Schizosaccharomyces pombe: one gene and its partners. The protein of the gene in region 3 interacts with the protein of the main gene of each other region in a biochemical or structural test. Each region holds a gene or a part of one and is shown on either strand. Other genes may lie near its edges.

Evidence for each region.
Region 1: the proteins of rad24 (region 3) and sts5 form a complex in vitro, tested with the Schizosaccharomyces pombe proteins (one study listed by BioGRID).
Region 2: the proteins of rad24 (region 3) and ste11 form a complex in vitro, tested with the Schizosaccharomyces pombe proteins (one study listed by BioGRID).
Region 4: the proteins of rad24 (region 3) and gef1 form a complex in vitro, tested with the Schizosaccharomyces pombe proteins (one study listed by BioGRID).

Annotation. Positions count from the first base shown.
Region 1 is NC_003421.2:676,466-685,246, reverse strand, and holds sts5 (Dis3L2-like 3'-5'-exoribonuclease), read right to left. Parts: upstream 5,413-8,781; 5' UTR 4,886-5,412; coding exon 1,685-4,885; 3' UTR 1,164-1,684; downstream 1-1,163. Other genes in the region: DNA polymerase epsilon Dpb3, read right to left, coding at 55-198, 300-419; p21-activated protein kinase inhibitor Skb15, read left to right, coding at 8,221-8,393, 8,497-8,781. UniProt on the Schizosaccharomyces pombe protein: Required for the maintenance of cell shape during interphase. Required for localization of cortical actin to the growing tips before mitosis.
Region 2 is NC_003423.3:3,980,633-3,988,697, forward strand, and holds ste11 (DNA-binding transcription factor Ste11), read left to right. Parts: upstream 1-2,743; 5' UTR 2,744-4,953; coding exon 4,954-6,360; 3' UTR 6,361-6,768; downstream 6,769-8,065. Other genes in the region: serine/threonine protein kinase Ppk25, read right to left, coding at 7,383-8,065. UniProt on the Schizosaccharomyces pombe protein: Key transcription factor for sexual development. Activates the transcription of the matp, matm, mei2, mfm, ste6 and rgs1 genes. Binds specifically to a DNA fragment carrying a 10-base motif 5'-TTCTTTGTTY-3'.
Region 3 is NC_003424.3:3,381,292-3,387,166, reverse strand, and holds rad24 (14-3-3 protein Rad24), read right to left. Parts: upstream 2,941-5,875; 5' UTR 2,900-2,940; coding exon 2,830-2,899; exon of another isoform or gene 2,631-2,829; intron 2,423-2,630; coding exon 1,680-2,422; 3' UTR 1,482-1,679; downstream 1-1,481. Other genes in the region: inv2 (beta-fructofuranosidase), read right to left, coding at 1-1,120; RecA family ATPase Dmc1, read right to left, coding at 3,763-4,688, 4,763-4,835; SPOM_SPAC8E11.04C (palmitoyl-(protein) hydrolase), read right to left, coding at 5,386-5,708, 5,823-5,875. UniProt on the Schizosaccharomyces pombe protein: Acts in cell cycle and stress checkpoint signaling by sequestering signal transducers regulated by the checkpoints. Required for the DNA damage checkpoint that ensures that DNA damage is repaired before mitosis is attempted.
Region 4 is NC_003424.3:468,455-475,914, forward strand, and holds gef1 (RhoGEF for Cdc42 (Gef1)), read right to left. Parts: upstream 4,537-7,460; 5' UTR 4,446-4,536; coding exon 4,404-4,445; intron 4,349-4,403; coding exon 2,129-4,348; 3' UTR 1,527-2,128; downstream 1-1,526. Other genes in the region: SPOM_SPAC24H6.10C (phospho-2-dehydro-3-deoxyheptonate aldolase), read left to right, coding at 266-1,372; SPOM_SPAC24H6.08 (uncharacterized protein), read right to left, coding at 5,581-6,243; rps901 (40S ribosomal protein S9), read right to left, coding at 7,039-7,460. UniProt on the Schizosaccharomyces pombe protein: Has a role in the control of cell polarity and cytokinesis. Involved in bipolar growth, via modulation of cdc42-shk1-orb6 signaling, and septum formation. Stimulates guanine nucleotide exchange of cdc42.

The DNA of each region.
Region 1 (8,781 bases), on a different chromosome or scaffold from region 3:
TGAACAAGAAAGGAAACACTTAAGCTTCCGTTTTCCAGTTCTCACACTTTTTAATTATATAGAAAACAAATCTGATAAAAATTCAAATTGATCGTCCTTACGTACAACGTCCTCAACGTCCCTGTATCGTATTCCTTTACGTTTTTGTAATTTGGCAAGTTGATAAGCCTCTGTTGCTAACTTTTCAACAAATAATTCCTAAATCATAAAATAGGTAAGCTTTTATTTTTCTTTTTCTTTTATGCAATCAAAATGGTGCTAAGTCGCCCAGATAGCTGATTTATCAACAACACACATACAGTAGCTACTGAAATTAACAAAGCAGATGCATTAGAACAGTAGTGTACGTCTTCATCTTGCTTTATTATCCTCTTTACTCTGCTCAATGGCAATACAGTTTTCCCATATGTTTTCTCCATGAATCAATCCTATCGACCGAAACAATTTAAAGGACTGGAAAAAAGCAATTATACCCTTAAACTATAAGGTTCTAATATAAAATAACCCAAAATCTCTAGTGCTATAAAAAATTATAGCCTTCTGATTTCTGACTTTTAGTGTGTTGTTGTCAAAATACGAAGTACTCTCGCGTCGCGACCTAATAATAAACATACTTACTTTACCACTAGAACCTTACATTGTTGTTTAACTTGAAACATAAATATTTTTAACTTTTTTTCTATTTTTAAAGAGTATTTCATTTAGTTCTCATAATTTCTAAGACTTTGTGGATTAATAATTTTTTATAATCAGTATAGCATGCGTATACATCAAAATATACTCGATATCGAGTTAATACACTTGGTAAACAAAAGCCGATATAACAAGGCAGCGTTAAAAATGAAAAATAGTAATCACTAAGAATATTTGTAGAATCCTTTTCTTTTTAATATCTTATGCCGTTTTCATATCATAAAATAGGACATGAGTAACTAACACATCCCGGATACGTTTCATAACTATAAATTTGAATATTTTGTGTAAGAAATGAACTTAAATTGCAAAAAATCAACTGAAAATTGCTAAGATGTCGTCCAATAGTAGATTCATTTTAAAAAAAGAAACAAAAAATAAAAGACTCAGCTAACCCCAAACGACCGATAAGAATCCACTTCTGATTGCCTAATCGCCGCAGTGATTGCAAACGCAAACGACACTTCATCTACTGGTAAGCCAACAAAGTGACATGTATCAATATAAAAGCAGGATTTCATTTTTGAAACAAAATCCAATCTAATGTATAAAAAAGGAAAAGTTCAAGGTATCATCAACTCATGCACTCATAAAATCACGTATCGAGACTACTGGATTCCTTCATCCAACTCTATCATCGTGAACTATCGTAATCAAGTTTAATCATCCTTTTAGTTATATAACATAAAAAATCGGCATCTTAGTGTATAAGATTAAACCGAGTTTTCGAGCTCCTTGGCTATGCAAAACTTGTAAATCTCCAGAAACAAATATTAGACGTAAGTAACAGCTTCGTCGAAATTAAAGAGAAAAGTAAGAATGGGAAAAAATGCAGTTTTAGAATCGTAACATATTTTTTATCAACAATGCCTAATAATAAGAGCAATAATATGAATGAGAATATAAAGCCATTCCAGGCATCCGAAAATGAACATGTGTCACCAAAAAACACATACATGAAATAAACATTGCAAACAATCGAAGTTCAACATCAAAACTCGACATTTGAAACGTTGATAAGAGGTGGAGTCGAAAGCTGCACAAAGAGCTTAACTTTGACAGAGGTCAACAATTTAACAACTGTAACGGCTCCGCTCTCGTCGTATAAAGATAAAATGCCCTGGTCCTCTTCAAACCTTACGTGGGTTAGATTGAGCAAATCTAAATGAACACGTTTCTCCATGCCTAGAGATGGGAAAAATACGTCAAAATATGATGGAGCAACAAAACATACGAGACCGTCTTGCCAAACCTGACTCTCCGCCCAGTCACTAAATATTTTTATATGAATGCTAGTTTCTTGCGCAAATTTGCTTATAACCAGACGACGGCTTGCATCGTTTGCCGCTTGCGACCATACACGAAGGCGCTTTTCAGAAGCCAGTTCTCCTCTCAAAAGCAACTGCAGTTGATAATGAACTACAATATCACCATAACGTTCCAAAGGTGCTGTAAAATGTGTCAAATCGTCACTTTCGTCCTCAATACCAAGACTCATCATCTGGGAAGCGAGATTGCCTTTATACTTCTGCATTTCATAAACTGCTCTTGGGGTAACCTTATAATAATAAAGCTGCAAAATGTTACGAACAGTATCGTCTTCGATCAAACTTAAAGAGCGTAAAAGTGATTTTGTCGAAGACAAATCTAAAACACATCCCATCTGAATGGCCATACTTTGTAATATGCGACAGTTTTCTCGAGAGGGCAATCGCTGAGTCCTAAGGAATGCATTTTCACGGAATTCCTGACGCAAGTGGCTTGCAACGGCTCTATTAGCGGCATCCAAAAGAGTTTCACGTAAAACTTCAACCGCCGAGGAAATAAAAAGATTCGTTTCATTGGGATCAAAGCTGCAGCTTTCTTCATCCCATCGACGTACTAACCTACAATACCGGCTGAGTGGCACGTCTGTACCAAGATGATGAGTTCGTAAGCGACTGCTTACGGTATGGAATAAACGAAGTCTAGCATCAGTTTGAAGCAACTCATCAGCTTCCTTCATGGTATATGCCTTGCGAGGACGAATGACAGCCCATCCAATCCAAGTGCCACGAATTTTACCAGTTGAGGAAACATCCAGTAAGAGAGACATTGTATAACAATCCTTATCTTCTCGTAAAGATAAAGCCTCACCTAACGTAGTGGGAAACAAAGGAACCGACTTTTGGCAAAGATTCACCGCAATACTTCTTCGCTGTAATTCGCGATCTAATGGGGATCCTGGCTCAATAACACGAGAAACGTCAGTAACATGGATTCCTACATGATAACCAGTTGAAGTTGGTCGAATATGAAAGGCAGAAGAAACGAAATCAGTAGCAGAACTAGAATTGATGTTTGATTCATGTTGCTTGACTTCTGAAACGGCTGCTTTGCTAACGTCATTTTTAACAAATAAAAAGACATCTTCAGATCGATAATCTGCACAACCAGCAACGTTTAAAAAATTATCCGATAAAGCATTGAGTGCAGTTACGGCGGATGTAGCGGCGGATCCTTCCCATGGTTCACTATGAACACCCGTATCGTGTAATAAAGCGGATACTTGAGCAGACATAGAGTCCATAGATCCTAATTCACCAACCAACATACCAAAAGGATGTAGAGAAGTTACAGGCCAACGCTTTATAGAAGCTAAAAACAATCGTTGAGCATATGCTTGATCGTTACCCAAAAAGTCTGTGGGTGCTTGTTCAGTAGGAATTGCAATCAAAGGCACACGTTTATCAGATGGCTTAAACCATACGATTTTGGGCTTGTCATTTCCCGAGTTATTGGAAGAGCCTTGATTACCCGACGAGGTCTGCCTCTCCTTATTAGCGGCACTACTTGGCCGAAGTATGCCAAGCGTACCAGAAAATACCTGGCCTGGCGCCCTCTGCAAGACTGCTACGACATGACCAGCATACTTTGGCTTTTCGTCCGCACCAAGCTGCTTTTGGTCAAGAAGGAACAGGGTCTGCCCTTCCACTTGTTCATCATCTCTTGCTTTTATAGCAGACCTCTGAGGAACCTCAAACGGTACGGCGTCAATTCGAAGGTTGTCAAAAGAGCCTCTAGTAGAAATTGGGTCTTTACGCCTTCGATTCTCTTCCTTTTCAAGTTTACCAGCCCATACCTCGTCAACGTCTAACAGCTCTATGGCAACGACATCACCCTCAAGGGCACGATTGCGATCTTTCGAACCACATATGAATACTTCCGCATCCAAACCATCGACACTAACAAAAGCGTCTGATCTATTTTTCTTACTTACAATTAAAATACCCGTTACCAAACGACGCTCAGCGAGTAGAGCAGGAATCGATGACTGTGGTAAATAAGGAGAAAAAAGATTTTTACGGGGATTACCTGAACCTCCCGAAGAAAAACCAGAGCCAGAGGAGCCAACACTTAAGCTGCCAGTCGATCGACGATGACGATGACCACCGCCTTCAGGACGAAAGTTTGAGGTATTATGAGTTACAATAGTCCCAGGAAAAGATGGATTCGCGGCATGAGTAGGACTATTCGTTTGAGAAAGTGATGAAGGACGCCATTGAGCATCCAAATTACGAGGGCGCAATAATTGTGGTAAAGTGTTCAAGGCTGGTAAAGGAGATGCGTTGTTGACTGGAGGAACGAACGCATGGGGAGTAAACGGTACGGCGTTATGGGAATTGGGAGAGGAAACAGAAGCAACACTATGGCTTTTTGCATGCCGCCTTGGACTAATGTTCGTAGATGTAGCAACTGATGGATTTAAGCTAAACTTTGAAGGAACGGTCGGACTGTTAGGGAAGGAATCTGAAGAGGCAGAGACCGAAGTGGTGAAGAAATTAGTAGGGTATAAGGGTTGACCGCCTTGAGTCGGTGGTTGCATATTAGAAACGGCTGGAGAATTAGAAGGAATAGTGGCTTGGTTGGAAAAATTGCCCATACCAACGCCAGCACTAGCACTTCGACGATGGCCATGAACAAAGGACGATTCAACGGCGGGTAAAAGACCAGTGTGTCGAAGCTGATGCATGTGCTGCTGTAACGGTAGCCATGTGGGGCGATTAGCAGAGGGAGTGGTTTGTAACCAAGGAGTGGTGAGGGAAGGGTTTGCAGAAGGAACAAATGTAGGACTCGATTGCGCATCAGAAGGATCCTGTTGCTGATTAAGCATCACCTTGTAAGGAAAGTCATTTTCAAACTCCTCATCCATGACACGAAAAGGGTAGTGAGAAAAGAAGTATTAAAAGTTAAAGGAGCAGTGGGTTAACAAAAAATAAAGAATATAAAAAGAAACAATGAGATCGAACGAAAAAAGAAGTCGCTAGCAAAGAAAGACTGGCTAAGGCGAAACGAGGCACAAGATTCGTAATCCAAATTAAATACGTAGACCCCAACTGATAAAAACGGTTGCCTTTAAAGATATCAGGAAACGATCCAAAAGATAAGTAGAAGGAAACCCCAAAAAAAAAGAAGAAAGAAAGAAGTAAACGGGAAAACGAATGTTTACGGATAAAAAAAGCGTCTTATTAAGGAAGGTTGTGGTTCGAGAAGTGAACGAAAAACCAACAAAATTAAGAAAAGGAAAAAAAAGAAGACTGGTCCGTCAGAAGCGAAAGAGTTAGGCGGCAAATGAAAATCGCCGCGAAACAGTCAGCCCCAAAAGGAATTTTAATTCCTCAAATGTCAAAATCGCAAGGAATGAGGAAGTATGAAAGTGATCAGTGGTAGATCCTCGTTAATTAAGGAAAAAAAAAGGCCTGCTTATAAAAATCCCGATTCTACCGTAATGAATGATAAGAACGTAATTCTCACTTAACAAACAAAGTTAGTTGGTAATATCTAATACTTGAATTCCGAGGCGATCCGCAAGCTGGCAAACTGATATATACGGAGCGCTATTCGTTGTATCGGTAAAAAGAGGTAGGCTAAGAATGCACAGGGAGAGGGAGCTTAGCTAGCTAGAGTAGAACAGGCGAAAACCACCAGTTTCGCCAAGGAAGTGAGTTGCGAAAGAAATGAACAAAGAAAATGAGTGTCAAAATGGTAGACAAAAAATGGTTTGTTAGGTAAAGCGTAACTCCTAAATATCGTGAGGAATGGCCTCAGCAAGTGTGAAAAAGGAACAAACAAAGACAAAAGAGGGTATCAAAGAGAATATCGACTTGAACGATGAAATCTTAAGCTGAATAAATAGATTTATAAAATTTCGGTATAAAGCTAAGGCCGATTGAACAGTCAATTATCACAAGAAACGAAAGAATAGACCATTCGCGTTGAAAACGATGACTTGCGGACGATGGAAGTAAACTGACGTGTTCAGTATATAGGAAAAATTCATTAGCGTAGTGCGTTCGAAGACGTTATACAATCGATGATAAGAGTGTATGAAGAATTGATTAAACAAGAAGTTTGGAGGGAATGAGAAAGTAAGATGGAAAACGAAAAATTTGGCAAAACAAAATTAGTAGTGAATTACTGTTTATTAATAAAATTCGTTTTTGACAGGCAATTATGTGTTTCTCTTTGCTTTGAAAGTTGGTTTTTACCCACAAGAAGATTCTTACATCGGATATAAGAAGAAAGAAGTAGCGAAAGGTGGCGATCCAAGAACAGTAGCGCTCTTGAGCAAATTGGTTTGAACTACTGATTCTTTTGATTTTATAAATTATCGTTAATCGACCGGGCAAGCTTACTTCAACCATAAATCGTGGACAAAGTAACAACTGACATAAAAATGATGAGCATACGAAAATAGACGAAACGAGCAAAAGGCGAAAATAAGTAAACATGGAGCAACAAAGTAAATTTGGAAAGAATGAATTTCTTCAAACTACTCAATGAATAGCAATCGCCCTAGAAACATGAGTAATTGTTTGAATTAGTGGACGACTCAGACACGCATGGTAGGAAGACTGTTTACTCTATATAAGGATATTGGCAGCAACACATAAACCGCTACAACGATAGATACCGAAGACATTAAACTATTTTTACGTATATTTGTGCATTTTAATGAAGACATTAAAATTCGTTAACGACGTGCGCTGAATTTTTCGATTTGAAGAGGAAAGCATCAAAAGACTTAACAAAGTATTGAAAGAATGAAGCTCTTCAATAATATATTAGAGGCTATTTAAAAAATTTGAAGAACCTTGGTAATAAAAATCGGTGCAGCTTCATAATTATATCGTCGTCCCTACCGATGTCAATCATAATTAATTGCTTTCTTCGTAGGATAGAAATGTAAACTGTAGAACGTAAAACTTAAGAGGAAGGGAATTAGAAACATTTATTATATATATTCCTAACAACCCTTAAAGTGTACGAGTTTGTCAAAGAGCATGATGGGACTTTGACTTTTTTTACCTACCTATACTGCCCCAAAAGGACTCATGGCAGAAATAGGCTTCAAATAAAGTACAATAGTGATTACTAGCACAAATCCTTATTTTTTATTACTGGAATTTGCCGATTTATTATATGAAGATAGCGCGATTGTACGTTGATAAAGAAACGAATGGAATAAGGCACATCACACCAAAATCTTATGTGACAAAAATCTATCACAATACATCATTATACAAACACTACAGTAACGAAATTTTATATTATGAGTACCTGTGAATTTCTCTATTTTATTTATCGATACAACAGAGCAACTCGTTTTTCTTGTAAAAAGTAAATAAATTCAATTTAGTAAACGATTTACGAACTTCTTCTAAGTTACGACATATTGCATGGAAGAACGTGAGAATGTTTGTTGGTCCGCTCTGCCTTGGGGCTGTCAGCTGCTTTACTCTTTCTCTGCAATCGGACGTATGACCTGGAAAATACGCTTGTGAACAGATTTTGATAAATGTTGAAATAAAATTTGGAAATATTCAAGATAAAAAAAATAAATCTATAAACAATTATTCGATTTCGAAAGCTCGACCTCAGTTTCTATTGCTTTATAATAAATCTATGTGAAACTGTTCAGATATATAATCTTATAAAGAAGGGGATATAGATCATGTCTGAACATTTGTAATGGAGCTGCTAATCCCTGAAACCTCGCTACAATAATATTTGATGAAACCATACCAGTAACATGCAGGGTGAAAATTGAAACAAGAAAAGATTTAGTGCTTGGAAGGTTCTTTGTTTAAGTAAAAGCTACTGTATGTCTTTTTCTTCCTTGAGCTTGCTACTTTGAAACACTAGTTGTTTACATTAGCAATCTGATCAATTTGAGACCAAAAGCACACAAAATAAGGTATTTATTATTAATATTCATTCTCTATAATCAATTTCAGCAATTTAAAAATCTTTCTTCATTGGTTTTGAAGAAAAACATAAAGTGAAACTTCTTGCTGTTACTTTAAAATTTCATTACACCTGCAAATTCTTTGCTACTCTCTCCTTCTTACTTGGTATTTGAGAATTTGTGGTTTAGGACTCAATTAAATTATAATAGAAAAAGCAAAAGGATCGGGTGCTTATTATAACTTACTTTGGGTTTTGTATAACTGGATTTAGGCTTCAATTGTCATACTTTAGTCACCGATGCTCCGTTTTGTAGTTGGAACATATACTCACCTCATTTACGGTGTTGATGCAGACATTGAGAGGAAAAAATGCAAGCCCTTGTGGCTTTTTGAAGCTCATGAAGGAGCTTTAACCGCGTTAGCTGTCGACGGTATTTACTTGGCTTCTACTAGCAGTGATGAAACAATTAAGTAAGTTATTTGCAACTGGAATTATGAAACTGGACTTAAATGGTTTCATTCTTCCTTCCTTGTATTTAATTATCCTTTTAAGCATAATCTAACATCGTTTCAGAATTTTCGATCACACTCGTAACGTCCAAATAGCCGATGTTTCTGTTCCTACAGATATCGCCAATGCATGTATCCGAGATATGTGTTTTACTAAAAATCACCTTTTAGCATGTCATGATAACGGGCAAATCAGTATGTGGTCTAAAGGTTCATGGTTGTTGGTTCATACTCTTAAGTCATCTTCTCATAAGGGCATCACTGGTATAGCAGTTCACCCTTCAGAAAAATTGGCCCTAACAGTTGGAGGTGATGGAAAGTTGCGGCTCTGGGACCTTGTACGAGGTAA
Region 2 (8,065 bases), on a different chromosome or scaffold from region 3:
CCACTTCAAGGAAATAGCACATTCTAACGTGAACGCAATCCAACAACGACTAATGGTGTAATAATTTGCAACCTAATATATTTTTTTTGTACGTCAATTTAAGACACATTCATCGTCAACAGCGAAATATATAAAATGAAGTTGCAACGCTCAACCGGAAAAGTGCATCCGGCAGCATTAGAGTATGTGGTATAAAGTGTACTATTTTTAAGGTTGTGCGTGGGATTTCAAGGTAGGCTTAGATACTACTGAACTGGAAAAAAAAAATATGTCCCTAAATGTACCAAGGCAACGTTATTTGAGCTTGTTGCCATCATAGTTACAAAATGACCATCACTCTTCTCACCTACAGTTGTGGGCGCCCACTTGAAAAAAATACGTATTACACAGAGTAAGGTAAGACAAAACAAGGAAGTTGTAAAAAGTGCGTTTCGTTCTTAGTTGCATAATAATTCATGAAATTTGTAATTCTTTTTATAGATAGTAGATAGGAATACAACACTAAAAAACAGTACACTTGTCCGGATAAGTTGTCGCGTATATATCATTACATTGTATGGTTGCTGTTGATTTAATTTGGATGGTACGAAGTTTGCCGGCAAGTTGATACTGAGCAGCGCCATTTGAGATTGTATCGTAATCAGATTGGTGGCTGAAGCAACAGTAGAAAAAAGAATGGTTTGATTTCGCAGTTGAAGAGAAAATGTCATTTTGTTGAGAAAAAGCCCCGCTTCAAAAGTGGACTCGGCTCTAGAGCAAAAAGTTAATCGGCAAGTTTATTCGAGTAGAATAGGAAGAAGTAGTAAGATAGAATAGATACTAGAGGAGAATGGATATGACAATAAAATGGGTTGGTAGAAATTTAATAAGTTACGCTTGTAAAACACTATAGCATTTTTAAAGATACATATGGTCAAAGACACATATGATCAGAGATATACATATGATCAAGAGTCACCCATATATAGGATGGTCAATTTTTTCACCAAATTGTTTTTCTCCATTTTTTTCATTTACTGTCTATCCAACATCGATTAGCCGCAATGAGGGATTATACAAGTCAACAATGATAAGCACAGTTGGCTAGCAGAGTCCAGTTCCAAAAGGATGCAATTTTGGTGATATGTAAGAAAACATTCCACAATACAATTTGTGAAGTTTTTAGCTATAAATTTATCGGTTTAGGTTATTTTCAAAGTATAGTCGTTTTCAAAAAATTATATTCGTTTTCAAATTAAATTCGTTATCGTTCAGTAGTAACCTTTTTCATTCAAAACTCGTCTTCATCTATAACTAATCTACATCTTCATCTTCATCTTTACCTCTACTTTCTCCCATCTCTCCTTCCTATCGTCTCCTTCCTCTCTGCATCTTGCCGGCCGCCATTTTCTGACTCGGCGGGTCATCCACCTTTTAAGCTCAACCTTGTTTTGCTGGTCGCTCGCTCAATTCTTACAAAAGCCCAGGTTAATAGTGCGATTGGGTGATATGCAATGGAAATTAGCGCATATCTCAAGTTGTACGCACACATACGCTAATCTGGCGGCAATTCCTATTTTCTATTACATTGCATAAGTCAAAGCTACTTTGCACAAATTCAAGTAGCATTCATTTCCTTCTCTAAAATAATGTCTAGTCTTTGGACTTTTATCGTTTTCAATGGTTTTATTTCTTTTTTCCATTCCATTTATTTTTTTTTTGAAATTTTCACCTTTCTCAATTTATTCGTCGTTCTTTTTTTAATATAATAAGATTATACTTTTACAGCATACATTGTGTCTCACATAGTCTCTTCCATCGCGTTTCCCATTTTATGATCTTGCTAAAAAAATGTCATTCTTATGCAAATCACCCTGTACTACCACAGCACTTACCTTTCCGACATTCTTGTTCTCCATCTTACATGTCTATCACTGTAGCGATAGATTATTTGTGGTGCATGCCATCTCCAGGGATGATGGAAGGGAAACACAAGCACCCACGCCTAATTTTCGGTAAATTGTAGCAAAATTCCAATGGCAATGACTCGATAGAATCATTGTATGTGTGTGGTTTCTTTCCTTCCGCTCGTAGTACCTGTATTTTTCATCATGACTCCAAGTCTTCGCCATTCTTATTTCACTCCCGTTCCGTTCACCCCAAACTACTTCCTCATCACTTGCTTACTACTCAAACTGCCGGCACTTGTTTTCACACATTCGCTATGCTTTTTTATTCTTTTAACATTTGCTTAAACCTTACCTATAATACCCTGCGGTTTCGCAAATTGCCGCTCTTCAAATGCCCGCTTACTCTATTTTGCTTTCTCCACCCCTCCTTAACTCTCCAACTTCCCCAGCGTTCTACAATTCCTCATTCATTGGAAGACTAGTCGTTGGCTTCTTGTCATTTTGCCTTGCGCTATCTCCCTCAACGAAAAGTAGCTTTGCGAGACTTTTTGCCAAGTGCCACACTAATCTTTTGTACAGGGGGGAATCCCTGACTTTGTTTGCTGTGTTACATCGTTTGTAGGCAAGTAAAAGTGACAAATGCTTTCGCATCATATGTTACTTTAACCCCTGTGAATTTTGTCCCTTCCCCTCATACACATTTTGGCTAGACTTAAAAAAGTTGAATTTCTTTGTTTGATTTTCATTGTCAGTAACATCGCGTATTACGCCTCGCTCTATACTCTTACTAGTTGGTTGCCAATGCGTATGTATATATATATATATATACATACATACCTGGTGACTTACATAGTGAGAATCTATTCATTTAGCATATATTAAAAGGATATCCAGCGTTGAATTGTTTCGCGTCGTATATTGGATTTTCTTTATTATCAAATAAACAAAGCATTATTAGCATTCTGACTTTTCAATCTTAAACCTGATTGTGAATGCTAAAAGAAAGTATTTCATTTGATTAGTTTGCATTTTATTTTTCTTTGAGAGCTTTTGCCTCGTTTTTTTGTTTTCTCTTTGTTTTCTTTTTTTTTTTTACTCAACTTAACTTAACTTTTCTGGTCTTTGTCTTGATTGCAGCTTGTCGTCTTTGAATTAGCTTGCCTCCTCCCATTCTTTCCTGTCTATTCGTGTTAAGTCTATTCCTTTATCTTGGTTTGCTTTGGCTTAGCTCTATTCTTTTCTTTGTTTTGACTTTACTTTGACTTATTTTCACTGACTATTTCTAAGTTTAATTTGTTGATTAATTTTTATTCACATCTCTTCTTTTCTTTATAGTAAACAGACTTAAACTTTTTTTTCTTCTTCTATTCTGTTTCTTCATTTTGTTGGTCCAATTGGCTTCGCTTCTCTCTTCAAACTTTTCTCGTTTTTCTTGCCTCTACGTTCTTTTGGGATCCTCCTCTGTTGGAATTGTTAATTGAGAAGTGTTGGAATAATTTTTTCGTTTCTTGAAATCAAAAGGATTTTATCTTTTTTTTTAATTTTTACGTCGATTCCCTTACTGTACGTCGAATCCCCCCCTTTTTTTTATTTTTTTTCTACGTCAAAATTTTTTTATATATTTCTTTGTCTCTACCACCATAGTTATCCTTTATCAACTTTCTCTCTACTAATTAACTAAGTTGTTTCTTTGTTGCAATTTTTGCCCAACTTTAAATTTTTTTTATTCGCATCGTTATTCTATCGCTTGGCTGCTTATCCTTGATATCTGATCTATTAGATTTTCATTCCTCATTTTATTTTAATATCCTTTTTTTAACGTGTTTCTTTTGTGATTCCATTAGTACACACCATTCAGAATTAAGTTGCATTCACCATCGGTCTTTGTTGGCTCATGTTATAACATTATTTCTCCCCTGTCATTGTCGCATTATTCACGTATTCATTGGTATTCCTCACTTTATTTGTATACCCAAAGTTTCACCATCTTACAGAGCTCAACCATTCTTCAGTTATCGGTGTCTCTGAAATTTCTCCCTTGTTACGCCTTTTTATTTGACTCACTTTTCCGTTATTTAGTCTTCCGTTTCGTCTGTTTTTCCTGTTAACTATTCCGCTCTTTCTTGTTTTTAGTTTTTCCTCCGTTTTATATAGAGAAAAAAAAGCCTTAGAGGCTCGTGATTTTGTTCTCGTTTTCAAATCTCCTCAACTTAAAATTAGGCTTATAAGAAAATCACTTTTAAAGCTTCAATTTTTTTCTTGTGGCCTTCTATTATATATCACTTTCACTCCTTCTTCCACTTGGACCTCTACTAATTGTCTCTTTCAAGTTATCCTTGATTCAATCGCCTTTACGAAAAATATCCTTCATCATTCCAACTCGATCTAGTAACTTTTCAGTCTCAACTTTCATCTTTTTTTTTCTACGCTTCTTTACATTTTTCAAATCGGCTTTGAGTGTTGCTTCTGTTTTTTTCTTCTTGAGCTGGAAATTCCATTAGTTTCATTTATTATTTCATTACCTTACTTTTTTCGTTTAGGAAAAACCTGGCATCAAATATACTTTTGTCACTTTTTTCTTTTTTTTAGTCCAGTCAGTCTCTATTCATTAAGCTTGAACTTGATTTCTTTGGCGAACAAGCTTGTTTAATATCTAGATTGACGGAAATTTTATTTTCATTTATTTGTTGATACATACAAGGGAATTTTACTTTTACTATATTCATCTGTTACTTCACTGTGAATAATTTGTTCATTTTTCATTCTTGTTAGTTTGAGATTTCTTTCTATCTTAATACCATTTTTCTTTTTTTAAATAGAAAAAAATCCTTCACACCAGTTTTTATTCGGTGTTTATTTCTTTACTGTTTTCTGATCTCATCCCCTCTCCCTCGGTTTGTGCTGTTCGCTTCTTTTCTACTTCGTTCTTTCTGACTGCGAACTTCATTTATGTTTGCTTTGTTCTTACTGAATCATCTTTCTAATTAATTCTAAGAACCGTTTCATTTGTTTTATTTTCTCCCTTACTTTTACTACAATTTTTATATTTACTCTTCTCTACACAATGTCTGCTTCTTTAACAGCCGAGCAAAAGGACCAAAAAAGTTCTGTTAAGCGACCTTTAAACAGTTTTATGCTTTATCGTCGAGATCGCCAAGCTGAAATTCCTACTTCTAATCACCAAAGTATCTCACGTATCATTGGTCAGCTGTGGAGAAATGAAAGTGCCCAAGTCAAGAAGTATTATTCTGATTTATCCGCCCTCGAAAGGCAGAAACATATGCTGGAAAATCCCGAATACAAGTACACCCCTAAAAAGCGGTCTACTGTTCGTAGACGCCATAAAAAGGTATCACCTTCTTCCGGATCTTTTGTGGCCTCGGATTACGTTGTACTGCAGCAAATTGCACAATCTTCTAAGACTCTAAAACAGACCGAACCCGAAAAGCCTGTTAATGAGGAGGAAACTTTAGCAGCTTTATTAGCTCCCGCTCTTTCATATCCAAAGTCAGGTAAATCGAATCTTATTGAAACCAGTGAATTGTCTTGTCTTTCGTCTTCCCCAATGATTCGAAGTCATACAATTCCTTCCTTATCCTTCACCGATCAAGTTTCTACAACTATTTCTACATTGGATAAATCCGAGCAAGCTCCTAGTTCTTTGGGCATCTATTATAGATCACCCAGTAGCGGTAGTCCAATCGGGCGAACAAAATCTGTGTGTTTAGCTAATAAAGCCCGAATAGTACCGAAAAGATCAATGTCATCTGATGGCTGTGTTGACAAATCTTATCAAATGTCAAAAACACCGAGCTTGGAGGCGAACTTGCCTCAAAATTCAAGCAATTGCTCTGCTCGAAGAGTTCCAAAATTTGATTCTAAAGGAACCGTGAGTGAGCAAAGTAACTCTGATAGTCCAGAGCTGTCAGCCGATAAAGTGTTGTCTCATTGTAGTCCTATTGATGCTCGACCCTCAACTCCCTCTTGCCCCAATGCCAGTATATCACCTAAAACCCCGAATACCGGTGATCATTATGGTTTTGATGGAGCTGAGTACCTAGGAACTCCTCTCAGTGTAGGCAGCACTACTGCGTATTTATACGGCCAAGAGACCGAACTTTTATCTACGCCTTATTGCCATACTTCTTACCCAGCAATGAGTCGATTGAACAGCAGTTCTGGCTATACATGCGTCTCTTCGTCTAGTGTTACCAATTCTGGACATACTGAAAATAATACCTGGAGAAGCGACGAACAAAGTAAAGGCTTTGTTGACATTAATAGTTTTTCTCAAAGTTTGTTCTCAAATGGCAATTATGAGTTCGCCGCTCATTCTCAAGAATTGGATGATTTATTTTCACAAATTACGGATTTTACATCAACTGATCCTATTGCTTCCTCACTCAAAGATGCTAACTCATTGGGACCTTCTCTTTTAGAACCTTGGTTGCCCAATTCTAATTTATTTTGAAAATATTTCTATGCAAACATGGCTTTGTTTTCAACAAACGATCATTTTTAACGCGTCACAAAAGCATGCAGCTGATTTGTTCATGTCATGCTTAAAAATCTATATTTTTTTAATTTTGCATATCTTTGTTATGCTAGATGATGCCTTCCATAATTTATTTCATTTACCTTTTAAACTCTTTAATTATTCCCTTTTTATGTTTATTATAGGAATATGTGTATACTTAGTTTCCAAAGAGCACATTGGGCAACATTGAATAGTTGCCCACTAATTTTCTTTTTTTTTTAATTTTGAACAATGTCTTACGTTATGAATTGATTTCTTACATCTAATTTCCTGTCATCTAATTTGGGCCCGTTATTACATATATATTGTAGTTAAAAAAATATATATTATATCGCAACGTAATTTCTAATTTTTCTCTTCCATTACTTTCGTAAGAATGTTAAGTATATATATGTTCATTATTTTCTTTACGTATCAAGCAATCATCCAATGCAGTATTGTTATCACCATTTCACTAGATATACTATCGATGAAGGTTTACTTGGCACCCACACCTACTGGGGTAATGTAAAGATAACTCAACCAATAAATTGATTAAGAATAAAGGTAATTAAATTACCTGACAAAGAAACTTATAGAATTCATTCGGTTTCAATGGCGAAAGGTATCTATCTATAAATGTTTATAGCATTCGGCATTCAAATATTTCATGAAAAGCGACGGATTTAAAGAAGTAATGCTATCAAAAATCGATCAATTATATTTTAAAATTATAACGCAAGTCGTAAGAATCTTTGTATATGTTGGATTGCAAAACTGTATTATTTAAGAATGAAAACAAAAAGAAAAAGCCTTAACTCGTCTTTACCCACTAACAAAAAAAAAAGAAAAAAGTTAAGTTTAGAAACAATGAAACTCTTTAATTAAAGTAACGAAAAAGAGCCACAGGTTTTAATTAAAATGGAACTTCTTCGAAAACACATAATAAATGCTAACAAAAATTACTCCAGGAGGAATTAAGGTGGACACTGCATAGCAGTAATTTTCTCTGTCAAATCCATCGCACCCAGAATTTCTGAATGATGCCGTTGGTGTCTACTATATACAGGAGGTAAAGCCGTTGGAATTCGAAGTGCTGGAGCGAGACTTTCGACACCCAATAAATACAGACAGACTAATGAAGTTGTTTTTCTCTCAATGTAAGCCATGTAAAGTTCATGTTTTAGTTCGGGAATACTTGCTAAACCATGCTCATGTAACAGCTGTAAAACCTTTAAATTAAAAGGCGGTTTGAAAACATGAGATCGGATTGAAGGCGTTGAGGGAATAGAGGTTAAGGGAATAGGCAGATACAAACAAAACGAATTTTTTTTTAACCAGGGAAATTTTGCTGCTTGTTCTAAAGAACAGCGCTTCCGTGGGTTTACATTCAGCATAGCTGCAATAAGAGAACAACAATCTTCTGAAATGTAAGAAGGAAACTCCAGTTTACCCGACTTTATTTTTGAATGGAGCATAGGAACGGAAACGTCGTCAAATGGGACTCGTCCACAAACCATAACATAAATCACTACTCCCAGGCTCCAAACATCAACCTCTGGGCCTATGTACGGCTTTGCATCAAGTAATTCTGGGGCCGCAAAATAAAGACTCCCACAGTATGTACGTAATAAATCGTCTTTACTATAAAAATTACTGA
Region 3 (5,875 bases):
TACTTTTCGGAATGGAAACGGCGAGGTAGAATACAGTGGCACTAGTCCAGACAGTAGGAAATTCACAGACACGGTTTAACAAAAGTGGAGCTGGTAGAGAATCTGGATAGTAAAGATGGTGAAGATTAACTGGACGTTGACGTAGCACAAGACCACGCGTTTCTTGATTGAGATGGGTGTAGCAAAGAGTAAGTTCTCGAGGAATAGTAAACATACCTCGATGTTTCATACGCATAGGAACATCGTTCGTATAGTTCCAGTTACTTGCCCAAGAGATGGAAATGACTCTTCCATCGGGTGCATTACCAAACGTTTGAGTGGCATAGCAATCGTGACCGCAATCCAAAATTCTGGACGCGCTATCAATTGGAGTGAAGGTTTGACCATCAAAATCTCCAATAAAATATTGAACCATGCTACCCCCATTGATCGAAGAACCAGGATTAATGGAAACAATCAGTACCCATCGAAACTCGTCGGTACCCTCGATAGGGAGACGAACAAAGTCAGGGCATTCGTATTGGTATCCTAAAACGCCTGCAGAACCAAATTCCGAAAGTTTTACCCAATCGCGAAGGTTTAGGGAATGGTAAAACAGAACTTTGTATTTTTGAGCTAACACTACAACCATGATCCATGCTCTACTTTCTTCATGCCAAAACACTTTTGGGTCGCGGAACTGCGATTCCTTGATGTCGAGGATGGGATTCTTTTTGTATTTGATAAATGTGATACCTCCATCCAATGAGTAGGCAATGTTTTGAGTTTCACGATTATCATAATGCGTTGTATAAATCAACACAATTCTTTCTTCAGGGTCAACCGACTTTCTCGAAAAAAATCCACTTTCAAAAAAGCCTGATGAGTTGGTTTTATCGATCACTGCGCTTCCGCTAAACATTAATCCATGATCGTCTCCAGGTGCAAGGGCGGTAGGTAGTAATTTCCATTTATACAGGTTTTTACTCACTGCATGGCCCCAATGTTGATTACCGGCTTGGTTTCCTGTTGGATTCCATTGAAAAAACAAATGCCATTTTCCATTACTGTAAACCAGACCATTGGGATCATTCATAAATCCTTCTGGAGGCGTGAAATGTATGCATGGTCTCACAGGCATCGATTCAAATGTTTACTGTGCGTTTTATATGCAAACTTAAAGCTTTTATATTTAATAATGTTTGAGTATCACTAGAACATACAAATTTTTAAGCTTTGTGTAAAAAGTGGTACATCGGTCGTATGCAAGGAATATTAAGCAATTCGGTGCAAATCAGTCAAAAAGCTCAAATTCAATCCGATAGGCTTAAACATTCTCAATCTACCAACTCTTCAGTTTGAAACTCACATCTATCTAGACTATTGCTTGATTAACTCAACACCCACTTAGCCAAGCAAATCATTACGGGTTGTGTACTCGAAATTAAAATGTCGTCCAACTACTGTATTTTTTACAGCAGCTACCAAATACACACATATACTACGACTGTAAAAAAAAAAGAAATTTAAAGAAAGACAAAAAGAAAAAAAAATTAGAAGAAAATATACGAGAATGTAATGAGACTATTCCATCGTGTAGTACACAAGATCTAAACGAAAAAGAACTCTTAGACAAATAAATTTTTTAAAATTGGTTCATAGTAGTGAAAGTATGGCATCAATCATGAGCAACGAGCTATCTATGCGTCCGCCTTGGGCTCAGCTTCGCCTTCTGGAGCATTGGAAGGAGCGTTTTCTTGAGCTCCCTCGGTGTTACCACCAGCAGCGGCGGCACTGTATTCAGCATCAGAAGTCCATAAGGTAAGGTTGTCACGCAACAATTGCATGATTAAAGTAGAATCTTTGTAGGATTCCTCGGAAAGGCTGTCCAACTCGGAGATAGCTTCATCAAAGGCTTGCTTGGCTAAGTAGCAAGCACGGTCGGGGGAGTTCAAGATCTCATAGTAGAAAACGGAGAAATTAAGAGCAAGACCTAAGCGGATAGGATGAGTAGGTGCAAGTTCGGCGGTAGCAATTTCAGAAGCGGCCTTGTAACCTTCAAGAGATTGATCAGCGGAGTGTTGGCGCTTCTCACCAACGGCAAACTCAGCAAGGTAACGATAGTAGTCACCCTTCATCTTGTAGTAGAAAACCTTGGATTCGGCAGAGGCAGCATTAGGGATAAGGTGCTTCTCAAGAACGGTCAAGATATCTTGGCAAATAGTGTCAAGTTCTTGTTCAATCTTTTGACGATATTCCTTAATTAATTCAACTTGAGCAGTATTGCCTTTGCTCTCCTCCTTTTGCTCGATGGAGGAAACGATACGCCAAGACGCCCGGCGAGCTCCAATTACATTCTTATAAGCAACAGAGAGCAAGTTACGCTCTTCGACGGTCAATTCTTGATCAGTGGAGGCAACGCTTTTCATGTTTTCAACCATGCCTGGATATATTAGTGATAAGTACATAAGGATTTCGACTTTCGAGATGCGCAGCATGATGTATTTTCCGTATGTCTGTATGAACAAAAAAATTTCTTCTCGGAGTAAAAACAATTAGAAATAAAGTTAGGAAACAAGTTGAAATACTAAAACACCTTTTCAACATCACCATAGCCAATGCACAGTTCATTTGACAACCACCATACAACACACAAACACAAACATTCTACCAACTAAGCCTCTGATCACAACTATGTCAAAAATAAATGCAATCGATGTTTTACAGGAAGCCCGCTTACTCAAAAGCTTCCGCCGATAGAACCTTGGATGTGTGTAATTTTGTTCTTGCAGAAATAACACCAAATATATCTCTGCTCTACGCGTCTCTAAACCTTATAAAAGCACATACCTTCATAGCGCTCGGCTTGCTCAGCAAGTTTGGCTAAATAAACAGCATCTTCACGAGAAGTAGTAGACATTTTTACCAAACGTTCGAAAATGTGAGTATATCGTGGTGGTTGGCACTGGAAAGGTTGCGGAACGTCGTATGGTAGAAAAAGGACTGCTCCCACAGTAAAATTTCGTAGCACTGCGTAAACGTGCCCTGTGCTTCTGTATGTCGAATTTAGCGACTGCGCATCGTAATTTATCGGCACGACAGAAGGTTATCGAAAAACCTGGCTGCTGGACTGTTCTCGTTTGTTGCGACAAAGCCCCGGGGTAAACACATCCTTGGCAACGGATCAAGAGAAACTGTACCCCTTTTGTCATATTGACGCAAAAGGTAAACATCGAAAGGAAGGTGCCTGAACACGTGCAAATCTGCAGGCCTTCATAGAATCGGGAAATAAACTGGAACAAAGGTGATGACGAATTCTGTCTCACACGATATAATTGTTTGGTGGAAGTCAGATTGTCCAACGATTGCAATGAAAGGCGCTCAGCTTTTGTTAATTGATACATGCGATAGCAACTTCACATGACACTACTTAAACAAATTTGTTGACTCGTAAGAATAAGTTGCTTTTGGGGGTTTGCGCCATTCGCAACTATTTGATAAATGTGTAGTTAAGAAAATCTTGGTTTGGTTATCTAAAATGGCGCGAGCTTCTCATCCAAACTTTTTCTTTAAAGCCATTTTAGAGACCAATAGTGAACTGATTATTGTATTAAAGATATAGTATTGCAGCAGTAAAATGTTAACATTAACGTAATCAGTGCACTCAATTTTGTTAAAACATAAGCACAAACGCAATGATAAAAGGCATTGCTGAACTTGGCTGATCTTTTTTCTTATTTCTCTTCTTTTTTTGTTTTTTTTTTGGAATAGGTAGAAAATCAATTAGGAAACGTCTGCTATGCCACCAGGTGTAATCACATAACTGCACTCGGCTTCAGGCATATCTGGAGAATCATTCAATTTTGCGACACGTTCCTCACCTCGACCTTTTCTTAACAGCAGACGGGTCGCGCTTGCGTGAGCCATGACATGGCCTCCTACAGGTTTTCGATCGTTGGACGCAAACATCATTGCTGCTCCGGGGTCTGCTTGAACCTGATTTGTGACAAAGACCGCTACGTTAAACTCTTCAGAAATATGATTTAATCTAGCAAGCATAATGTTTAATTTTTGTTGCCTTTCTGATAATTCCCCGCGACCCGAATAGTCAACCCGAAATAGTGCCATGATGGAATCGACAATTAACAAACGGTATTGGCCATCTTCAGCAAAAATGGTTCCTAATTTTGTGATGTATTCCATTTGTTGCTCAGAGTTGTATGCTCTACTGACAATGATATTCTCCATAGCCTGATCGGCGTCTACACCAAATCGTTCTGCAATGGCTTTGATTCGATCAGGTCGAAATGTTCCTTCTGTATCTATGAATGCTACTTTTCCTTCGGCCCCGCCCATATCTCGAGGAAGCTGGGCAGTGACACACAATGTATGCGACATTTGTGTTTTACCACAACGAAACTCTCCAAATACTTCTGTAATACTCATCGACTGAATTCCCCCTCCAAGGATGCCATTGAGTGCCTCGGATCCTGTCGAAATACTCCATACTTTTTTACGATTTTGACTGATTTCCATCGCAGTGGAAAAGTTTGCTGGGCACATTTTTGATGCCGCTTCCTTCAGTTTATCCACTTTGGCTTCGCTGAAACCTTTGATTTTAAGGAGAAATCTCTTTGTGGACATATGGACTCCTTGCACCGTACAAACGCCTGCTTGCTTCAATTTTATGATATCGGTCATACCAATCCCTTTGATTATGTTAGTAGATATTTAAAGCAAATACTGGGAGTCTTATAACTGCCGTATACTCATTCAAGCTTACCGTGAGCAGTTAGGTCTTCAATGTCACTAAATATCATTTGTTCATCATCATTCCCCTCTGCGAATTCTTCCATTGCACTTTATTTTTATATTGAACGTGTATTAATCAAATTACACGGTTTTTGGTTGTTGTTCGTACTATGTAGAAAGAAGAATTGCTGTAGTTATCCACGATATATATATTGCGGAAATTCCCAAAATTACCTCTCTAAATCACAACAAAAAAACAGTAGATCTATTTGTTTCTTTAGTTTAATTACTTTACAAGTTCAACTATAGAGTATATGCACTCATAATCATGTATTATACTTGATGCAGCTACATGTAAACAATGAACGCGTCGCGAAATATTGCTACTAAAAATGAAAACTAAACTCCATAGTATCTATACTCAAAACAAAATGCTTCAATCCTTAAAATGCCATAAATGAGTAAAACTGTTGGAGAGAACCTACCAAATGGGATGACAATTCATAGTCTTAAGTTACTAGTATGAAACTGCTTTCTAAAAAAGGGAAAAGTTAATCACGGTAAATCTTATTTAATTTTATGAGTAACTCTAAAAGTGCAAAAGACTCGTCAATTTCCTTCATTTGCAAAGTCTCAACACCAAAAACACAATACTTATGGTGAACCAATAACTGTCTGAGTAAATTTATACATAGCCATAAACGATTCTGAAGAGAGAGAGTGGGCGTCTCCCTCAAAAGGTCGATCGAGACATTTTAACTGTAGATTGTTGATGAGGTATTTAGCTGAAGCACTCGACAAGACAGAGGGAACAATAGGATCTTCGGTCATATAAGTCAAAAGAATGGGTATCTCTTTAGCAACTCGAGAGAGAGCGGATGGAAATTTTGAAGCCAAAGGTAAGAACCCTGAATGCCCCATAATTCCTGCTAAACGTTTGGGATAGGTAAGTCCAGCGTAAAGGGAAACCATACAACCTAGAGAAAATGACGAGTTAGTAAGCAATATACTTTTGAAAAGTGAAAACCATTTCACTTTTTTTTTGAAAATGCAATGACTAGCGAGTTAACCGCTTTCATGGCAGCTCATACCTTGTGAAAATCCGCCAATTAATATGCGATCACTAGGAATCCCCAAAGCAAGT
Region 4 (7,460 bases), 2.9 Mb from region 3:
ATACTTACTTTAATACTTTGAAAAGACTTCGAAATGTTAAATTGAAGCATTCATTTTAATAATACATGCTTACAAAAGGATATTGTTTACCAGTTTCTATTGATAGTTGGAAATATAATGTCCAAGACTTATGACAGCGCAGTAGTTTGTAACTCGTAATCTAAAGTAGCGAAAATTGATCTCGTTAAAAAATTTTATTACAGATGTCTTGAGAACTACATTATACTAATGGCTTGTCTTCTACAAGTTAGAAAATCATTAAGAGATGGACAAGCACACTCCTCTTCTTCCTGGCGACAGTGTTTTTTCACGTTGTAAAACTGAAGATAGTCGTATCAAAGGCTATGATCCAGTAATTTCACCTGCTTTAATTCAATCAGAATTAGCAGCCTCTGATGAAACACTTGCTTTTGTGTCGGATCAAAGACGCCAAGCCGCCGATATCATTGCGGGACGTGATGATAGACTTCTTCTAATCGTTGGACCCTGTTCTTTACACGATCCTGTTGCCGCCAAGGAGTATGCCATTCGCTTGCAAAAGGAGGCTATTAAGCACAAGAAGGACTTGCATATTATTATGCGCGCCTATCTTGAAAAGCCTCGTACAACTGTTGGATGGAAAGGGTTGATTAATGATCCCGATTTGGATGGATCTTATAACATTAATAAGGGTATTCGTGTCGCTCGACGCATTTTTCTGGAGCTTCTGGAAACTGGTGTCGGTATAGCGTCAGAGATGCTGGACACTATAAGTCCCCAATATTTAGCTGATCTAATTTGCTGGGGCGCTATTGGTGCTCGTACCACTGAGTCCCAATTGCATCGAGAACTTGCTTCAGGGCTTTCTTTTCCAATAGGTTTTAAGAATGCTACTGACGGTAACATTGGTATTGCTATAGATGCTATGAATTCTTCTGCCAACCCTCATCATTTCTTGTCTGTCACAAAGCAGGGTGTTGTAGCCATTGTTACTACTACAGGTAACCCTGATACACACATTATTTTGCGTGGTGGTAAAAGTGGGACTAACTTCGATGCTGATTCAGTGGCTGGTGCCAAGGCTAAACTCGAAGAATGCAACAAGCTACCTAGTATCATGATCGACTGTTCTCATGGAAACTCATCTAAAAACCATAAGAATCAACCCAAGGTTGCTGCTTGTATTGCTGAGCAGGTGGCAAACGGTCAGAAAGCAATTACTGGTGTCATGATCGAATCTCACCTTAACGAAGGTAAGCAAGCTATACCTGAGGATGATTTGTCAAGTATGAAATATGGAGTCAGTGTCACCGATGCTTGCATTGGTTGGGACGACACTACCGCCGTTTTTGAACAGTTGGCTGCTGCCGTCCGTTCTCGTCGTTCTCATTAACCTATAATGAAGGTTATTGAGACAGTTTTATAAAAATAAATTTTTTGGTTTCTTGTATAATAAATTTGTATTTGCCGTAATTAACAGTGTGACTTTTAAAAGGTTATTTATCGTACTTATCATTGCACTTTATCGGATGGTTCCAGACTGTTTCATCGTAAGTATTTTTATTTACGTTTTGGTTTTACTACGAATGTAAGAATTTGACCTGTTTTTGTTAGTCAACTAGGATAAATAACGACGAACAAAATTAATTCAATCAAAACCTAATTACATATTTTAAACATAAAACATAGTTAAAGTGAAAGTCAAATATTATATACATTATTAAAGCATATAAATGAAAAGTGGAAGCGTATGAACAAATAAAATGGCATAACAGCAGAAAAGCCAAAACGTTCCTAGTTTAAAAAAAAAAAGTGAAAAGACAATAATTAATAGCTCGACTTGAGCAGACAAAAATAATGAGATGCATAAAAGGAAGGCGTAAAAGCGTTTAGAATCCTAATTTGAAACTAAACTTAACAGGCCTCTGTGATAGACAAAAAAAGACCGTTAAAAGAACCTAAACGAATTGTAATCAGACAAACGCAGATATTAGGTTAAATAAATGTAATTGTGATGTTAAATACATGGAAGCTGCAAAAAACCATGGTCCAGAGAAACGTTTTCATCATTCAAGTAACATGAATGCAGTATATCTAAATGTGTATATATATAGAACAGATAAAAAATATTCGACTAAAGAAGTTGCTCTTAAACCCTCGCAGCTAAAGAGACACTTTTCATTAATTCCTCCAGCAATACCTCGTCATCATAATGCATGGGTTCAAAGGCTCGAACTAACTCTGCATAATCTTGCGTTTCTTCTAAGATGCTATCCCTCATGTCTTGAGGGATAAGAAACAAGAAACCTTGAGCGTAGTTTTCATAGAGAGAGCGTTGAATACCAATAAAATGATAAACAACACTGTGAAATTCCTTCTCAACAAGAGTAGAAATTGCCTCAAGCTTTTGAGCAGGAATCACAAATTCAGCGCTGATAATGAACTGAATAACTTTTTGAATCACTCGTAGGATATTTGTGATTGGGTTAAGGATAGAAGAATTTAAAGACGTTTGTATTTGAGAAGGAAGGTTAGCAGTCATCATGTGCGCAAGTAAATGATACTTACGCCACGTATCTACCGGCTTGTCTTCGGGCTCTAAAGCACTAAGCCCTTCAAGCTCTGCTAAAACCTTTTCAAAAACCGAAAATCCACGATGTACAGTAACGTACCACGTTTCCAATGTAGCATGTAAGGCTTTTAATATAGCGAATCGTTGTCGAAAATCTTGAAGCACTTGGCGTTGAAAATTCAATCGAGCATCAGTTTTTAACTCAGTAGATGTAGTGGTGGGCCTAGATTTATTCGATGTTGCTTTATAGAGTAAACTCCAAGCAGCGTCTCGTTTATGAGAAGCACTTAACGACCCACGCTTATGAGAAGGCTTCTGCTTCTGGTTTATACCAGATATTAACTCCTGTAATAGTTGATAAGAAAGGACCAAATCTGGGCGCTCAGAACTACTTTCAGGAGTAACATCAATGATTTTTTGCAATAATAGGGGGTACTTGAGTAAGCGCTGTAAAGGTTTAATTATTAAACTACCCAAATCCCAGGCGTTCGTGTATTTTTGAACTATTTTATCACCCTCCATAATCCAGGATGCAGTTGCAGGTTTCTCTCTCCATTTAGTGATAATTTTGAAAACCGAATCTTGACGGTTGCAATAACCAGTATAAATTTGACCGATTTCAGAAAGGCTTTCTAAAAAAATAAGACCTAAATTGCAAGGAAGAGGATCTATAAGCTGGGTATCCAAGTTTACACGCCAGGAGCCTTCACCAGCTTGATAAAGTCGACTATGGAATTCCACAGTAAAAGTTAATAAAGACTCTATATCGCCAAAAACTGTTTGGGCGTCAACTGGATTCAATGCACTGCATTCTTTGACCCGCAAGCCATAACTTTGTTGAATCGCAATGAGATCGTTTAAATAGGCAGCTTCAGTAGTAACCAGCTCTTTAATCAAATTTGCACGCTTTTTAATACGCTTATATTCTGGATTGATAGAACTGGCTTCAGACATAGCAAGAGATTCCTTTGATAAACGCTTACCTGGTGTGCTCGGTAAAGAAGTAGTGGCATACGAAATTGTTCGGCTGAGAGACTCATCAGTTTCCAAGGCCAAAATAGTAGAGTCCAACTTAGTAGAAAAAGAAGTAGTATCAAGAGGTGAAAGGAGGGACGCTGTAGACGAATGAGAGGAAGGCATACTTGCCAAAGTCACACTGGAACGCTTTTCTTGTTCATCCGTAGAGCTACCAGGTAGATACGCCGAAGTCCTGTTACTGCTAGTTTCAGAGGAATTCTGTGCCATAAAAGACCCTAGGCCGCTAACTCTTCGTGAAGTTCCATTGCTACTCGTGTTTGTATGTATTTTTCGAAGTGTTGTAGGACAGTTATATGATGGGGAACTAGGCAACGAAGGCAAAGTATATCGGCTAGACTGAGCATAATCTTGACGATTGCGGTCCCCATAAATACGATTAGGGGTTAAAGTAGAACTATTAGAGGCTGTAGAATCCCCATTTAATGAGTGGCTCATGTTGGAGTTTGGCAAATTGAAGGAGCCCTCCGAAAAGAATCTTCGGTGCTGAGACGATACGGGAGGAGTGTTTGGAGTTTGGGGATCTTGTAAAGCACGAGCAAAGCTTGCTCGAGACCTCCTTCCACTACTCAACCTGTATTCACTCTGTGATTCTGAAACATCGCCATCAGTGTCGTCTGATTGTCGGTAAGAAAGCGAATAACTGTTAGAAGGAAGGCTTAAATTGATAGATTTTCGTTTAATACATGCAGCTCGATGAAGCTTGCTTGTTCCAGGCAATCTTGGTAAATCCCTGTTTGCCAAGGTTTCAAAGTACTCAGGCTGATCAACATTGTTAACACATATACACACATTCAAATCAAGTATAAGGACATACGGAATCGGACATATCCGAAAGATCTGCTTTTAAAGTCTCCATATTGAAAACATTTGGAGAACAATAAAATGAATGACAATTTTGGAAATTTTGTTTACATGAATTTTATTAGGTAACGTTGTTGGTAAAGCACAGGTTTTGGAGATTTGGCGCCAACTTCTTCTTAATCCACTTTCAATACCTTCCACTTCCTTATCTTCATTACCAATGCATAACGTAATCACCCACGAAAAATAGTTTGCCAAAAATAGGCTTGGCTCAGCTTTTTGAGCGCCAACCGCGGACAGAGGCAGTTTACCTTTGTACTTGGTTTACAAATGGTTGCTTGCACAGGTACATAGTAATATGACTTGAGTATTCGATTTTGTGATAAACATTTACGTATTTACAATTTGTAATATAAGGTTAAATTTATTCATGTCTCCCTTTATGAAATTCTAGAAATGACAGCAGTTAAAATAAATTCCACTGTTACGGTTACAAGTTAATAAATTTGTTATTTCATTGTTTTAATTAGCTTAAATATTTAGAGCGGTTTTGTTTTCTTGGTAATGCACGTAATTTGCTTTGTTTTTTTTTTTTTTTTTTTTTTTTTTTTAATAAGTAATAAACATTAAAGATGTATATAAACAGAAATGAGAGAGAAGCGGCAGTTGATTGTCTTACATAACTTTGGTAAACACTGTATAATTTTAAAAGAAAATTTTTATTTTTTTTAATAATTACTTGAGGCTAATACGCTGCATTTTCTGTCTGTAGTACTTTTTTTCATATATTCAAAAAATCACGATATCTAATACTAAGTGTGTATGATAAACAGACCTAGTCAAAATTCCTAAATATTCTACGGTGTTCACTAAAAACAAATATAATGTTTCAGTAAATTAAACTAAAAATACTATTAATCGACAGGCCATAAGAAAAATATATATTGTAAAAAAAATGGAAACTTCCATTATATCTATTAAGATTTCTTCTAATTTCAAAAAGGAAGTGTTATTAAATCCTTTAACTTGTAACTTCGTTAGCGTCCGACATAGCTAATCATGCTTATAAATGGTTTGTTAAAATGCAAATGAGTAACATCATTAAAAATGATAGAATTAAGAAAAAAAGAGCATTAGTGTCATATAACTTGCAGCAGGAAGATTTAGAAAATATATAACAACATGTAAAGCTAGATAGCAAGGTTTTCAATTAGAGTCTTCAAAACTGGACACCAGCGCACACAATTAGTTACAACACCGGCACACATAATTTCTACAATAAATGCCTTCGCCTCACTAATGTTTCCTGTCAACGCCAAGCGACATGTTTGCGATAATTTTTGTAGCCAAAAGCCTTCCATGTTTTCTAGTTGACCTTGTAATAGTAAATTCGTTTTGACTCGTTCACCCAACATCTTATGAACAGAATCACTAAGATTTGATTTACTTTCTATAATTTGCAATAGGGAGTGCCTGACATCTTCACAAGAAGCTTCGTTCATACAATCGTTTGTTGTATCGTTAAACGTGGTAAAGATATCATTGTCACTGCTTTTCTTCATCAAGTTGAGAGGATTACTGCTAATTTGAGGAACAGAGATATTCGTGGGAGGAACAGATATACTCCTGTTCATAATTTTTGAAGGTGAAAAAGGAGGAAGTGGTGATTTACTAAGTACTTGACCAGCTAACGGTTTGGGTGCCAGCATGTCATCACCATAAACCAAACGTCTACTCGAAGCCGATTTCTTTAAACTTGATGTGGAAGACGTTCGTTGAGTTTGACTTAAAAAGATACCAGAAGAAGGATCGTTCCAGTGCACCTCAATTTTCCCAGTTTGATGTGAAGTCATGTTGTGTTGACGCAAATAATGTTGTTCTATGTTTAGTTTGTTTAAACGAACGAAATAAATAAGAATCTTTCTATCTCGACCAAAGAAACTGGCTGGTGTATTCCTTTATAGCAGTTCAAGAAGGTTTGTGGTAGTGGATAAGAAGAGACGAATGCAACATTGCCATATATCACATGTTCAATAAGGTGATTTCAGCAGCGGAACTATTAAAAACAACGGTAGTAGGAAAAAATGGTAAGGTTATTATAATAAGGATAAATATAAGTACTTAGAGCATCAAAGTTCGTAGCTGACGAATAATATCGACATTTTGGTGTAGTAAAAATTACCTACTCAGTTTTTACAATAGCGCTGAATGTGCAACGTACGGGAATATCATAATTAATACAATAATGGATTTCAAATAATAAAGGTCAGCATATTGCAATGGCTCCGATGTTTGAATAATTATCCATTCGAGCGATAGAAGTAATTAACATTTAATATCCGTAGAAGCTCAACTACCATCTAAAGCCTGAAAAACTTAATCAACGACCTTCTATTTAAAATCCGTTTATTACCTGAAGCAGCTTTTTTACAAAACAAACAACAAATTCATCATATTACTCATATGAAATAAACTGACACTACAATCTTACATAATTATAATCTACACATTAAGTACAATAATTAAAATTTCACAAAACAAAATTAACCACTATGCAATCAAACAAACTTCTTTATTAGGCAGATAGAAGCGGCTATGAAGAAATCCCATTTAGAAATGTATAGAAGAGAATGTCACACCTGCTTAATTTACTCTTCTTCGGCTTCTTCTCCTTCACCGCCCTCTTGAGAGCGGAGACGTTTTCTCTTGCAGCGACCAGGACGACCACCACCATAAGGAGAGGAGAGGGCAAAGTCAATGTGCTTTTGAGTATCCAAACGGACAACAAAAGAAGGAACATTGACAATTTGCTTACCAACACGAATGTGACGTTGGAAGATCAACACACGTGCATGATGGATAGACTTAGCCAAACCAAGCTTGAAAACTTGGGTCTGTAAACGACGCTCCAAAAAGTCTTCGATACGAAGTGCCAAGACATAATCGAGCTTCATACGAGTCTCATCCAAAATACCCAAACGAACAAGACGACGAATGATGGCATTACCTTCAAAAAGACGCTTGGGATCCTTCTCATCAAGTGTCAAAAGCTCACGGGCGGCACGACGAA